Elephas maximus indicus: one gene and its partner. The protein of the gene in region 1 interacts with the protein of each later gene in a pairwise test. Links are inferred from orthologs where the notes say so. Each region holds a gene or a part of one and is shown in the gene's direction. Other genes may lie near its edges.

What was found.
Region 2: the proteins of ATXN3 (region 1) and RAD23B interact in a two-hybrid assay, tested with the Homo sapiens proteins (2 studies listed by BioGRID and IntAct). The link is inferred for Elephas maximus indicus from reciprocal best matches to the Homo sapiens genes ATXN3 and RAD23B.

Annotation. Positions count from the first base shown.
Region 1 is NC_064828.1:105,675,650-105,683,627, reverse strand, and holds the start of ATXN3 (ataxin-3), read left to right. Parts: upstream 1-4,975; 5' UTR 4,976-5,028; coding exon 5,029-5,052; intron 5,053-7,978. Other genes in the region: NDUFB1 (NADH dehydrogenase [ubiquinone] 1 beta subcomplex subunit 1), read left to right, coding at 804-840. UniProt on the Homo sapiens protein: Deubiquitinating enzyme involved in protein homeostasis maintenance, transcription, cytoskeleton regulation, myogenesis and degradation of misfolded chaperone substrates.
Region 2 is NC_064827.1:56,779,844-56,787,100, forward strand, and holds the start of RAD23B (UV excision repair protein RAD23 homolog B), read left to right. Parts: upstream 1-4,243; 5' UTR 4,244-4,658; coding exon 4,659-4,724; intron 4,725-7,257. UniProt on the Homo sapiens protein: Multiubiquitin chain receptor involved in modulation of proteasomal degradation. Binds to polyubiquitin chains.

The DNA of each region.
Region 1 (7,978 bases):
TGTAGCTGAAATGTTGTTGGGTGCTGTCAAGTTGATTTTTGACTCATAGTGACCCAGTGTGACAGAGCAGAACTGTCCCCGTGGGGTTTTCTACACTATAATCTTTACAGGAGCAGATTGTAGTATTGATAGTGGCGTTAGGAGCCGCAGGGGTACAACAGTTAAGAGCTCAGCTGCTAATCAAAAGGTTGGCAGTTCAAACCCATCTCGCATTTATGCAGGAGAAAGACCTGGCGATCTGCTTCCATAAAGATTACAGCCAAGTGCTATGTTCTCCACAAGAGTGCTTTAAAGAGACATGGTGGTTGAGTGATCGAATAGCAGTTGTCAGCTGCCTGGCCTCCTTATGTCTCTGAAGACATCTCCTCTGGCAGCAGAGAGTTAGAGTAAGCTAGACAGGATATCTGCCAGTAGGTGTGCACACTGGGCAGGAGGATGCTCAAGGAGCAAAAGACTTGAGCGTTGGCCACAGTTGATACGTAGAGGTGGGTCACACATCAAGGATTTCAAGAAAGGGAAAACAAGCTGGAAAGGGTGCAGAAAACATTAAATGGAATCATTGAAAAGATAATAGCTTTCATATAAAGCTAGACTAAGAAATTATAGTTTTTTAATTGGGAAAAATGCAGTTGAAGGTAGAGTAAAATCGTGAGGGAATAGGATGAATATGTTGAATCTCATGTAAAGCTTTAAAAATGGGGCAACTTAATAGAATATAACATTGAATTCACACTCCTTTAACTTCCCCTTTTATCTCTTTATAAAAGTTTTATTTATTCTTTTCCTTCTTTTTTTCCACGCAGGGAATTGAAACCCAATGAAGAAGTTACCTGGAAGTAAAAGCTGTGGCTGAATTACAAAATGTAAATGATATTTTAAATATTATGAGAAAAATAAAAACATGTTTATTATTTGAAGAATTTGGAGTGTGATTCTTTTTATGCTAAAATAATTTTCAAATTTTAAAATCCATTCATTAAAAACACAATTACTGGGTACCTAAATTTTCTTTTTTTTTAATTGTATACGTTGGTGTTAAGTTTACAGTTAGCATTTAATTTTCTCTTTCTCATTTTAAACCATGGTACTGTTAAATCAAATGGTCAATTCCCCCCACCCCACCCCACCCCACAGGTACTTATAGTCCCAGTGACTGGTGTATAGAAACACTATTTGTTGAATGAAAGGAAAACTGGTGTGATTTGCATTTTTGGAAAGATCACTGATAGAACTATGACTCAGGTGTATAGAGACTGGAGTCAGAAGGCCAATTTAGAGATCCTTAGACTAGACTACACAAGGCACTCAGAGGGCTTGAACTGAGCAACAGCAGTGAAAACAAATGGGAGAGACGGGTGAGAACACAGTATTCGAGGACTGATTGAAATAAGGGGTGATGTGGAACAGTTGCAGGGAGGGGGTAAAGAATCAAGAATGATTCCCAGATAGTTGCCTTCATTAATTTATTCAACAGACATCAAACACTAGAGACACAAAGTCAATTAAGACAGGCCTGCCATCAAGATATTTATAGGATATTGACAGATGTATGATTAAACCAAACTTTATGATACTGTATGAAAGGTACTATGTATGATAGATGCATGTACAGAAATTCAGAGGAGGGGCCAACCCACTGCTGTCAAGTTGATTCCGACTTGGAGGTCTAAATTATTCAGAAGTCAAGAAAGTCATCCTGGAAAGTGTGATCATTGAATTTTGAAGGATGGTATGATTTTTCTTTCAAAGTGGAATAGAGTTTAGGACATGCTGAATTTGAAGTGGAGGCATTAATTGAAATAGGGAAAACAATGGATCTAATCCCCAAATTATACGTGGCTTAAGTGCCAAAGCCAAAACTAGAACTTGCATTCTGACTCCCAGGTGTTGACCTTTTTCACTTTATGACATTTATTATTAATCACACATCAATGAAATGATTAGCATTAATTCATATTTAGTGCCTTTTGGCTAAACACTGTTTTAGGTGCTGAGGATTCAACAGTAAGGTCCTCTAGGGGTTTACATCCTCATAAGCAATTAATAGGGGCCCTGGCAGTGCAGTGGTTAAGCACTTGGCTGCTAATTGGAAGGTCAACCTTTCAAACCCACCAGCCACTCCTCAGAAGGATTGGCAGTCTGCTTCCCCAAAGATTACAGCCTTGAAAACCAAATGGGGCAGTTCTGTGTCCTACAGGGTCACTATGAGTTGAATCGACTCTATGGCAATGGTTTTGGTGTTTTGGTTTTAAGCAATTAATCGCATCAATTTTTTTTGAAATAAATAATATAGTTCAAAGATCAAGAATAAAATTGCATACAATGAAAAGCCTCCCACTCTGTCCCCCTTTTGCCTAGTTCTCTTCCCATCTCAACCTCTGGCTTGTGTAATGTGTAATGTATAACCAGTAACTGGTTGCCATCGAGTCAATTCCAACTCATGGTGAGGTGACTCCATGTGTTTCAAAGTAGAACTGTGCTCCATGGGGTTTTCAGCGGCTGGTTTTTCAGAAGCAGATTGCCAAGACTTTCTTTTGGAATTTTTCTAGGTGAACACAAACCTCCAGCCTTTCGGTTAGCAGCCAAGCACGTTAATCATGTACGTACGTGAAAAAATAAATATTTCCTCACATGGATGCACACTTTTTTTAAAACAGAAAAAGTGGCTTGTGAGTTTTTTTTTTTTTTAATGAGAACTGTGATTTGTTTCCCCATTAGGCCACAGTTTAAGAGCAGGGACTGTTTTTCCCAAACAGTACGCTGAACTGTGTGCCCAGAGGTGTTCAATAAATGGTAACTGGATCTTCCTCTTGAACACATGCAGTCTCCATTTCCTTACCTCCTGTTGTCCCCTCTACCCCCTGAACCTGCATCACGAAAGTTACCAATGGTCTGCATAGCAACAAAACCTAGTGGGCTGTTGTAAACTCATGTTAGCTGACTTCTTGGCACTGCTGTCTTCTACAGCCAGAGTGTTCTCTGTAAAATGCAAATCTGAGCATGCCTCTTCTTTGAAAAGCTGTAGCTCCCCAGCTGCCCTTAAAAAGTACACATTCCTTAACTTGGCTTCAAGTTGCAAGATCTGCTATTTGACCCCTTCCGCTTTATCCATCCTCCCCATCTCCTCCACCACATACACATACTTTATGGGACTTTTCAGTTCTTCCAATCAAGGCTTCCTCTTTAGCACCAGAGCACCAACACCAGAACAAGCTGCCTGAATTCGAACCCTCTCATGGCAACTTGCTAGTGACCTTGGACTTGTGCTGTTCTTAACATCTCTGTGCCTCCATCTCCGTCCTTATGTGTAAAATAGCCCAGTCGCCCAGCGTGTAAAATAGAGATGATAGTAATAGCTAAATCCAGGGGTGGATTATCCAAAAGGCAAAGTAAGCATGATGCTTACCTTGCTTACTAGATCATCTGAAAAGAGCTATTTTTTTTCCACCACATCAAAGATTCTACTTCTGCATATGGCTGGCATCTGTCCCTCCCTCCACCCCAGAGCACCTTCCTACAGAATTGAAGCCTCTTTTCAGATTTGTAATCCCTGACGGGGATGGATTACCCAGTAAACAAAGTAAGCATGGGCTTACTTGTGTTTACTTATACTTGTGCTTGCTTACAAATCTATAGTGAGCAATTTCACAAGGATTTCACACAAAGACATGGTGATATGGAGACAAAGATGTGGTGAAACCCATGTGAAATTGTTCACTACAGATTAGTAAGTAAACACAAGTAATCCCGTGCTAACCTTCCTTATTGGGTAATTGGCCCCTGCCTACATCAGAGGTTGCTATGTTAAGAGTCACCGATACATGCAAGGAGCCCTGATGGTACAGTGGTTAAGGACTCGGCTGCTAACCAAAAGGTTGGAGTTCAAATCCACCAATGGCTCCTTGGAAACCCTGTGGGGCAGTTCTACTCTGTCCTACTGTGTTCTACAGTCAATTCCTATGAGTTGGAATTGACTCCACAGCAATAAGTTTGGTTTTTAATGTATGCAAAGCCTAGCCCATAGTAAAAAATTAAACCAGATTCCGACACACAGAAACCCTACAGGACAGAGCAGAACTGCTCCGTTGGGTTGCCAAGGAGCTGCTAGTGGATTTGAACTGCCGACCTTTTGGTTAGCAGCTGAGCTCTTAACCACTGTACCAGCATAGTAAAAACCCGTTGCCGTTGAGCTGATTCCAACTCATGGCAACCCCGAAGGACAGATTAGAACTGCCCATAGAGTTTCCAAGAAGAGCCTGGTGGATTCCAAGGGCAGACCTTTTGGTTAATAGCCCTAGCACTTAATCTAGCCCATAAAAAAAAAACCTGTTGCCATCGGAGCGATTCCGACTCATAGAGACCCTATATGACAGAGCAGAACTGCCCCACAGAGTTTCCAAGGAGCGCCTGGTGGATTTGAACTGCCGACCTTTTGGTTAGCAGCAGTAGCACTTAACCACTAAGCCACCAGGGTTTCCTAACCCATAAAAAAAAAAATGTATATATATATATATAAAAATATCATTTTCACATCATTGCAAGGTATTGGGGGATACAATGATGCCTTTTTCTCAATGAGGCTTGCAGTGGGAGGGGGGAAAAGATAATAAATAATTATCGTAGGTGTGATAAGTAGAAAGTTCAAAGCAAAGTGTAAAGAAAAAAGAACATAGAATCCGAGTGGTCCTTATCTAGACCTGGAAAAGCCTAAGAATCCATAGTAATGGGTGAGAAGAAGAGAAGAGCCTCCAGACCGCAGGGGGCGCTGCGGCAACCCTCAGCCGGCTTGGTATCAGGAACTGGGAGGACACGCTACAAAGGTCACGTGCCCTTGCGATTACCGCCCTGGCGTTCACTGGCTCTTCGCTCCACGTGACTCGCATCCTCGAGGGTGATTGGTCTTCGTAAGGCACGAGGGCAGGGGCGGGACGAGGTGGGGCGGGGCGGGGTAGGCAGAGGGTGGGGCGGAGGGGCGGAGCCGGAGGGGGGTGGTTCGATGCGGGGGCCGTTGGCTCCAGACAAATAAACATGGAGTCCATCTTCCACGAGAAAGTGAGTGTCCGCGTTCGGTGGGGACCTGTCTGCGGCGCGGTGGCGGGCGAGGGGTGCGGTGTCGCCGCCTTGCGAGGGCTGGGTGGGGCTCTGAGTCGCCCCCATCCCGGCCTCTCCGGGTGCGGGCCGCTCGAGCCGCCCGTCTTCTCGGCACTGGGAGGGGAGCTTTACAAACGCCGAGGAGCCGGACCGGGACGCCCGGGGATTCGGGAGGGAGTGAGGGCAAGGCCAGGGGGCGCCTCGGGACACGGAAGGAGGCGGCGGCGGCACCGAGTGGGTCAGCGTCTACCTTTCTCCGGCACTTTGTGTAGCCTTTTCGGGGAAACTCTTCTCCATTCCCTTCTCCCCTGTGCTCCCTGGTTGTAGCCCGAGTCACCTCTCGGAAACTTCCCCCAGCCCTTCCCAACTCCCCCGCTTTTCCCCACGCCCACCCCTGGCAGAATTCACTTCCTTCTCTGGGCGCCTCAGTTCTATATTGGAATCTCCCATACAATTAGATCTTTGGGGTTATGTGCCTGGCTTCCTCCCGCGCTAGGTTCCTGAGCCTCTCCAGGTCAGGAACCTTAGCTCGCCCATTCGTAGGGCCTGACACTTAGGGAAGTAGAGGCGGAAATCCCATGCAGGGAAGTAAGTCGTCACAAGAGTTTTTGTTATGGGATATCTGCGGTTAGTTTCGTTTGCTATTTCCATCTTCCTACATCAGGAGGCCAGCTTTGTTATTAGGTATTAGGGGTGGACTGGAATAATTTTGTTGGTGTGGTCCGCCTAGCCTGTTCTTGCTTTGATTTTTCAATGGCCACGTAATTGAATGATGCTGCTTGTGTTATGTGGAGAAGCTGGTCTTGTCTCGCATACAATTATCAAGGCATTGGGTGTGAGTGAAACCTTCCTTGGGACAACTTTGGCAGATGGCATCTTGTTTCATAATAGTTTCATGTTTGGAAAGGGTGGCTGTGAGGCTGTTATTTATTTAGTAGGCGCGAAGGGTTATCGTATTAAATACTTGTGAATGATCCATGGTGGAAGACATTTTTAAATACACACACACGAGACAGTGAAAAACAAAAGAGGCAAGGTGACTTATAGTATAAATTTAAACAAATTGTTAAAGGGAATGCTTTTTATAGAATACATTTCAGAAAGTTTTGGAGCTCAAGTTGGTTGATTTTTATGTGTGCGGAGAGGAAGGACTCAGTGGTATGGTTATAGCTAATCTTTTGATTTGATTGACGTATTTTATGAATCTTGGACTAGAGAGATTTAGCTGCTTGGCTCAGGAGATTGGGTAAAGATTAGAGAAACTTGCATGTATATATTTTTGTTAATTTTCAAAGCTTTGGTGTAGCACCAGGTGTTTTCAACATGGAAGACTTTAAACATTTTCATATACCATTTCATGCAGTGTATTTTTAACAGTACTGATTGTTACCTACTTTGGATATATATCAGTGAAGGTAACTGCTGGACCATGGGACTAAAGGAACCTGGGCCCCAGCCTATTGAAAACTACTTACCTGAAAGAAGTCACTCTCAACGTGTTTAGGCGTAAAGATTAGGATGCCATCCCCTGCACAGATACTTCAGGCATCTGTTTCCTCTTATTGTCATCTGTTTATAATATGTACTTAGCAAATAAAGGCTCTTAAAGTTCTTCAGGCATGTTTCAAGAATATGGAAAGCACATGTAACCATACGGCTCATCTTTAATCACATATTCTCCCATCTCTCAGAGCACCCCCCCCCCCCCGCCACATATCTTTAATTGTGCTTAGACCTTGTGCTGGGGACATCAGTGGTTTAGTGGTAAGATAGTCTTGTCTTCTGTGCCGGAGATCTGAGTTCAGCTCCTGACTGCAGCACCACACATGCAGCCACTACCTGTCTGCCAGTGGTGGTTTGTGAATAAGCCAGTGAAAACTCTGTGGATCACAATGGTCTGATCCGCAACCAATCACAGGATGGCAGAGGGCTGGGCAGCGTTTTATTCCATTGTGCATGGGGTCACCATGAGTTGGGGGTGCCTTGACAGCCATTAACAACAATAGGCCCTGGGCTTGGAGAGCCAGAGAGCCATCTCTGCCACGATGAAGCTGTGTTGGTAGGGATACCAGCCTGCAGAGGACCTCTCAGCCACTTCCACTTGGAGTGTTGCTTTCCCTGTTTTCAGAGTTTGGGTACCCTTTATTTGAGTACCCTTTATTAAGCTAAACTGTAAGCAGTTGTTCACGTATATATCCTGAGTGCCTAGAATGCAGGAAAAAGATGTGGCAGTCTGCTATTGTACAGATTTACAGACTTGAAAGCTCTATGGGGCAGTTCTGCTCTATTCAACCTTGTAGGGTTGCCATGAGTCGGCATCAACTCAACGGCAGTAGGTGGGTGGGTAGTGCCTAGAATAGTGCCTTGACTCATAGTAGGTGCTCAATAAATGTTTGAATCAGGAGAGTTCCTTGAGCATCTAAGATGTGTATGATGCTTTTTACCTGAAGTAAACTTTTTCCATAAGGGGCCAGATAGTAAATAATTTAGACTTCACGGGCTACATATGGTCTCTGTCACATATTCCTCTTCGGTTTTTTTTTTTTTTTTTTTTTCCCCCAACCATTTAAAAATTTAAAAGCCATTCTTAGCTACTGGGGCAAGTTGAATTTGGTTGCAGGCTGTAATTTGCTGAACCCATAACAAAAGCCCTAAGGGAGCCCTGGCGGAGCAGTGCTCTGTGGCGGTTGGAACCCACCAGCCGCTCTGCAGGTGAAAAGACCTGGTGATCTGCTCCAGTAGAGATTACAGCCTAGGGAAACCCTGTGGTGCAGTTGTATTCTGTCATACAGGGTGCTGAGTCAGAATGGACTTGAGGGCACACAATGTCAATCTAAACATTAATACTAAATGGCAATTAATTGCTGTTTTGTTTTTTTTTTAGTTC
Region 2 (7,257 bases), on another chromosome or scaffold:
TCTAGGAGAGAGGCCCAGGGCCTATCCTGCAGGGCCTTGCTCACCAGCACCCTCACCTCAGTGGCTTTTAGGTGGGGGTTGGGGAGCCCTAACATGTGAATTGTGGGACTCTGGGATCTGGGTTTAGGCAACTACATCCCACAAGGAGACAAAGTCTGTCCAATTTGTGCCACTGGGCCAAGAGTGGGTGTGGCTGGTATGCAGTTTTGCTAGAAATTCACAAATCAAAAAAACAACAACAAAAAAACCTTTCTATCTTAAGACTGTATTTTAAAGAAAATTTTACTGAGTGAATTTTTTAATTCATTGACATTTAAAATCTACTCTTGTCACAACTATTGGAGGCCATGTATTATTGTATACCCTTAGAAAATTTCTAAAAACACTCAAAACAATGGTTATTTCTGAGGGGAGGATGGGGGAGACCTTTATTTTCAATTGACCCCTTTCTATACTGTTTAATTACTATTTTTCCAGGAGCAAAAGACTGCTTTTTTCAAAAACACATTCAAATATATGGAGAAGCATCTTCTCTTCACCCTACCCCCCCCCCACTTTTTTCTGTAGACAGGCAACAGTAGTTTTAGCGCGGAAGGATTTAATATTATAATAACATTATACAGCATATTCCAGTTTTAAAATGTTTTCATCTATTTTCTTACACCTATTATAAATTATAAAGTGACCACTCTTTTTTTCTACCACCAAATATTCAACACCCACATTCTGCTAAACTCTGAAAAGAGCATGATGAACAAGACTGACACAACACCTAGCCTCATGGAGATTAGTTGGGAGTCCGTCAGTACATGCTTACAGAGCACCTGCTGTGTTCTAGAGCCTATTCTATGTGCTGGGGATACAGCCGTGAATAAGACAGTGAGTTCCTTTCCCTAGGAAGCAGACACAAAGGGAAGGAGAGCAGTGATTATGAGGCAGACAATAGACAAATTTGAAAAAATAGTAATTTCAGGAAGAGTCATGAAAAATTCAAACCAGGGTAATGTTGTACCTACCTCATAGAGTTTTGTGGGGGACTAAATGAGATTATCCAATTGAAGTAGCTAGAACAGGGTCTTGCATAAAGTAAGGGCTTATACATGTTACCAAAAAAACCAAATCCATTGCTGTCAAGTTGATTCCGACTCATAGCGACCCTATAGGACAGGGCAAGACTGATGCATACGGTTTCCAAAGCTATAAATCTTTATGGAAGCAGACTGTCATTGTCACATCTTTCACCCATGGAGCAGCTGGTCAGTTAGCAGCCAAGCACTTAACCACTGTGCCATCAGGACTCCCTTATATATGTTAATCATATATTACTACAGTCTTGGAGAAATCTCCTCTAAAGAAGTAAAATTTGATTTGGAACCTGAATGATGAAAAGGAGTTAGCCATTCAGAGGTTTACCAAGACAGTGTTTCAAACTTAAGGAACCTCAAGTGCAAAAGCCCTAAGGCTACAACTAGTTTACCCCGTTTGAGGGATGCGAGAAGGGCAGTGCAGAGGATGTCAGTGATTGATGGGGAGACGGAAGGAAAAAGATGAAGCCAGCTAATTTGGCAGTCAGATGATGTGTAGTCTCCAAGGCTAGTTAAAGAATTTTAGCATTTTATTCTCAAGTGTAAATAGGTACTAAGTATAGATGTAACATGATCAGATTTATGGTTCAACAAGACCACTCTGGCTGCTGGGGAAGCTGCTGGGAGAAAAGAGTAGACGTGAACAGACCAGTTGGGAGGCAAGTGAAGGAAAATAGTGGCATAGCCTAGGATTGTAGAAGTAGAAATGGTGGAAAATGGCTGAATTTGAAATTTCATTTGGAGAATAAAATTGACAGAACTTGATAATGGATTGGATGTGGTGACTGTGGGGTAGGAAGGGAAGAAAGAGACTTATCAGGGATGACAACTAGAGTTCTGGCCTGGGCACCTGGGTAGATGGTAGAGTCATGCAATTAACTAAGATAGGGAAAACTTGAGAGAGAAGCAGGTTAGGGATGGGGGCTGCAGAAGGAAATCAGTGGTTCTGTTTGGCCACGTTAAGTTTCAGAGGCTTGTTATATTTCAAGTGAAGACATTGAGCAGACAATTGGCTAACTCTATCCGTAGCTAAGGGGAGAGGTTCAGGCTGGAGGTATTTCAAAACAATAAGACAGAATGAAATCACCTGTTGACCAAGAGTAGCTGTCATGAGGCTAGAGAGCAGAGAATTAGATATTTTAATTACAATGCAGTGAGATAAGTGCTGTGAAAGGGGAAATACCAGGTTAAAAATGAGGGAGGTTGGAATTCATGTAAGAATTATATGCCAGCTTCTAGAATCCATGGAAAACCAAGGGGTGACATTGTATCAGTGAGGATGCTGGTCCAGAGAGGTAATTTGCAACTGGTCACAAAGGGGTTCGACTGCTTTATACTTGAGCCACTCACTGTAAGTTAAATGCCACAAAAAACAAAAACGCCTGCTGCTGTCAAGTCAATTCCAACTCATAGTGACCCGGTAGAACAGAGCAGAACTGCCCCATAGAGTTTTCAAGGAGCACCTGGTGAATCTGAACTGCCAGCCCTTTGGTTAGCAGCCATAGCACTTAACCACTACGCCACCAGGGTTTCCTAAATGCAACAAGGAACCCTAAAACAAGGCAGAATAGCCGGGCACCTAAAACCACCGGCTCTGGAGTCATTCTGCTTGAGTTTAAATTATGGGATCTGCCACTTACTAGTTGGGTGACTTGCACTTTACGTAACATCTCTGTCCTTCAGTTTCCTCACTGGTAATTAGGTATACCAATAATACCTATCCAGGGATGGAGTACTTATTATATTATGTTCCTGGCATTAAGATTTTACATATGCTGTATTACTCACCACTCCCTCTAATAATCAATGAGTTGAATACTCTTATTACCCCCATCTTCCTGATGAGGAACCTGAGTCACACTCACCCACACCACAGATAGTTACTGTGTCCTGCCTGCTATGTGCCAAGTATGTTTCTCAGATGCCAGGAATACATCGGTGAACAAAACAAAATCTCTGCCTTGGTGCAGTTTCAGTCTGGGGTTTAAAGGGGCAAAGTGAGAAAGATCATAAACATAATACCATATACACTGTATGTAGTTTAAAAAACAAACCCGTTGCTGACAAGTCAATTCCGGCTCAGTGACCCTAGAGGACAGAGCAGACCTGCCCCACAGGGGTTTCCAAGGAGCGGCTGGTGGGTTCGAACCGCAGACCTTTTGGTTAACAGCCGAGCTCTTTACCACTGGGTCACCAAGGCTCGTATAGCGCCTGGTGGATTTGAACTGCCAACCTTTTGGTTAGCAGCCATAGCACTTAAACACTACGCCACCAGGGTTTTCATATGTATAGGTGATAAATATTCCTGAAAGAAAAAAAAATAGAGCAGGATAACGGAGCTAGAGAGGTTGCGATTTTAAATAACGTAGCCGGGACACACCTCACTGAGGTGACATTCGAGCAAAGATGTGAAGGAGAAGAGAGAGCGAGGCATCCAGATATCTGGGGGAAGAGCCATCAGGGTGTGGGAAAAGAGAGTGCAAAGAAAGGCCCTTCGGCGGGAGCTCAGCATCCATCAACAACAAGCGGAAGAGACAGGAGATGCGATGCAAACTAAGGGTCTAGTAGCCACTTGTAAGAACCTTGAGTTTACGTTGGGTGACACGGGGAATCACCGGAGATTTCTGCGCAAAGGAGTGACGTAACTTAACCTCCGTTAGGTCCTTCTAGTTCGGCCCAAGTTCAGAAGGTTAGTAAGAAGAGAAGACAAAATGTGAGCCCGGGCAGTCTAGCATCGTACGTAGCCTGTGCTCTCAGGATTAAAGAATCAGTCAACATCACATAGCCTCAGGCGCGTAGCAGGGGCCCATCTCGGTGGTTACCTGGACCCTTTCACTTAAACTCCGCCCCGATCTACTGCCCTCTAGTTCTCCAGCTCCGGAGCTCAGCACCCACTTGGTCCGCTCTCCACGTAGCGATTCCCCGGCTACTAATTGCGCAACTCCGGCGGTCGGGGGGGCTCCGGGCGTAGGCGGGGCGGCGGCGGGCTGGGAGAACACCCGGGCTGCAGACACCACAGGGAAGCCCTGAGAGCCCAAGCGACGTCCTCGGTGTGCGCCTGCGTACGCCGGATCCCGGCCGCCGACATTCCAGAGCAGCAATACGCCCCGCCCCCAATTCTGGGGCGGAGTTCTTTACCACGCATGCGCATAGTCTCGCCGCACCCTACGCCTGCGCGCTTCGCCAGCCCGTCCCCATCCCCAGCTTTTCGGGTGGGGGAGGGGGGTGCGTCTCGGCGAGTCACGATGATGGCGGCGACCGTCGTGTGGTGAGCTAGCGGATTCCCTGCTTGTCGCTCAGAGCCCCTCGCACCTCTTGCAGACTCAGTGGCTGACGCCGGACGCGGCCGGAGCTCGCGTGGAAGGCCGCGGTCGCGGAGGCAGCGGCTCGGCCTGGGGCCAGGGCTGGGGGAGAGGCCGCTCCGCAGGGCGAATGTGACAAGCCCCCACCCCCACCGCTTTCCTCTTGAGTGTGCGAGGAACGCCGGCGACCCCAGGGCCCGGCCAGGCCACAGACCCCGCCCAGCGGCCAGCACCCGGAGCAGGCCCGGCAGTGGAGCTGCGCGGTGGCACCATGCAGGTCACCCTGAAGACCCTCCAGCAGCAAACCTTTAAGATCGACATCGACCCCGAGGAGACGGTACGAGCGGCGGGGAACACAGGGCCTGGGGTCGGGTGGAGCGGGGGCGGCCGCGCGCGGGCCTCGGGGAGCGTGAGGGGCCCGCCGGGCCTCGGTGGGGGCGGCACGGCGGCCGCTGCGCGCGGAACCGGGTCTCAGCCCCGAGAGGAGCCCTGCGACGCGCCCGGGCGGGGAGAGCCTTCAGCTCACCCACGAGGGCGCCGTGAGTGCGGGCGCGAGGTGCGGCCTGTGGGCTGCGGGCGCGATAGGGCCCAGGGTTCCGGCCTCGGACGCGTGCGTCGTGCCGGACCCTTCGGAGTTGGCCACCGGCTTTGTGGAGGGAGGATGGGAAGCAGTGGCTGGACGCCGAGGGCCTGGTGGCAGATGGCGGGAGCACGCCCGCGGGGCGCCGGAGGCCTCGGCCTGGGAGCTCGTGGTAGTGGGGCCGGAGGGGGAGGGGAGGTCGCGGCGGCCCCTGGAGCGAGCCGGGCTTTCTGGCGTAGGTTTACAGGTGGGGGAGGGAGATGAGGCGTCTGGACCTGAGTAGACCTGGTTAGGTTCTAAGGTCTAGGAGGTGGTAACCCGAGATAGCGAGCCTTAAAAAAAAAAAAGTATCAGGTTTCGCCTGCCGCAGTTTTCGGAGGTGAGTAGTGGTGAAAACGAATTCTTTGCTTCTTTTCCCTCCAGAGTTATTAAACCTTTTATTTGCATGTATCACGAATCCAGCCACCCAACACACATGCACATGCAGATTGCACGTTAAGGTCTCTTTGGTGGTGAAGATTAGAGCTCTTTAGATTCTGGCTCGGTCCCAACTCGAGATTTCATGGGTCCTCTGTTAGAAGTCTTGGAATTGGAGGAGTTGTATTGGAACCCTGTTCACGCCACCTCACCGCCCCCCCCCATAGTAGCATTTCAAGGGAGATATCCATATTTAAAAAATCTTTTAAATCTGTTCTGCAGTTAAACATTTCAAAAATCCGCATGATAAATTCTCAAGCCATTTTCTGTATTTGCGATTGCAAAAAGAGCAACTAAGTTGAAGTCAGTACAGTTTTATGCCAAAAAGCTAAAAGTGTCACGTGTGTAAATTTACTGCTTAGGTTCTGGAGTTGTTACGCTATACACAGTTAAGCAGTTTTCTGCCCATCTATATATTTTTTAAAAAATTGATTATATTTTTGTTGGAGATCAGGAGTCGTGGTGTTTATTAGATAGACTTGAATTCCGTCTGTGGGTCTGTAACTCTCTTAGTTTGGCCTGCTGTACAATGGGGAAAATTACTTGCCTTTTAGAGAGATGTGAGGACAAAATTGCATTTAACTGGTGGTCAGTAAATGGAATTATTACCCAGTGGATACCTCTTAGATACAGTGTTATGTTTTACCCTCTAATTTTATGAAGTTTTCTATGTCTTTAATTGTTTAAGAGACAGATTTCCCAACTTCTTTTGGAATTGTGACACAAGATGATTTGATTGCAAGACATTTCATTATATGTGGAAGTGTGGGTGCGATATATTCTTAATATAGGTGTGGGAAATATCAGTTAATGTGTGAGAAACTGAAGTGTTCTCAGGAGTATTTGACTGGATTAGTATTATAAATAGAAACAAAATTTTCCCAAACATTTCCTTACTGTTTAGTGTGTATTAATAAGTTGAAGGATGAAAGTTATGTTTTCAGACGCAGCTTTAGTTACTACTTCAAACTATTGTGTAGCTATACATAAAATGTCTATATGTTTTGGTTCTTTGTACTAATATATGTTGGTGCCAAAGTATCTTTACCGGAATTAATTCCACAATTACTGAAACCTAAAGAAGGTTTCTTTTTTCTTTTTGTGGTAACTAATGAGCCCTGGTGGCGCAGTGGTTAAAGCGATTGACTGCTAACTGAAAGGTCTGCAGTTCAAAACCGCCAGTCACTCAAAGGGAGAAAGATGTGGCAGTCTGCTTCTGTGAAGATTTACAGCCTCGGAAACCCTATGGGGTCGCTATAAGTCGGAATTGACTCTGCGGTGGGGTTGGTTGTTTTTTGTTGTTGTTTTGGTTATGTGTGGGTTTATTGAAGTTAAGCAGTGACTTTCCACAGCTCCAATGAAATATTTATGCTCTATGAGAGTTGTAAAGCTCTTTAGGTACTTACGCTATTATCTTAGAGCCAATATTATAATTGTATAGGTTCTTAATTATATTTGCTCTTTTCCAGTTTATTTCTAAGCGTATGTATATGAACTTGAAAGTATACTTTTAGGAGTTTATTTTCATAAAGCTCATTGTTACAGAGAGTGGCATCTTCAGCATTTTGTCTTAATTTGGCTGAATACTGTTAGTCTCGGGCCAGAAATTAAAACATTTAATCCATGATATATGGAACATTTACATACATTAAAATGACTTGTTGGTTTTCAGTTTATTGGCTTTGACTTTAAGAAATGTTTTTCAGAGCAGAGCTATTTTAATTTCATCTTACTGATGAAATTCTTTTTAATAACCATTTATTTTTGATGCAGAGCTTTGGAGTCAAATTCCAGTAAGGAAAAGGAACAGTTA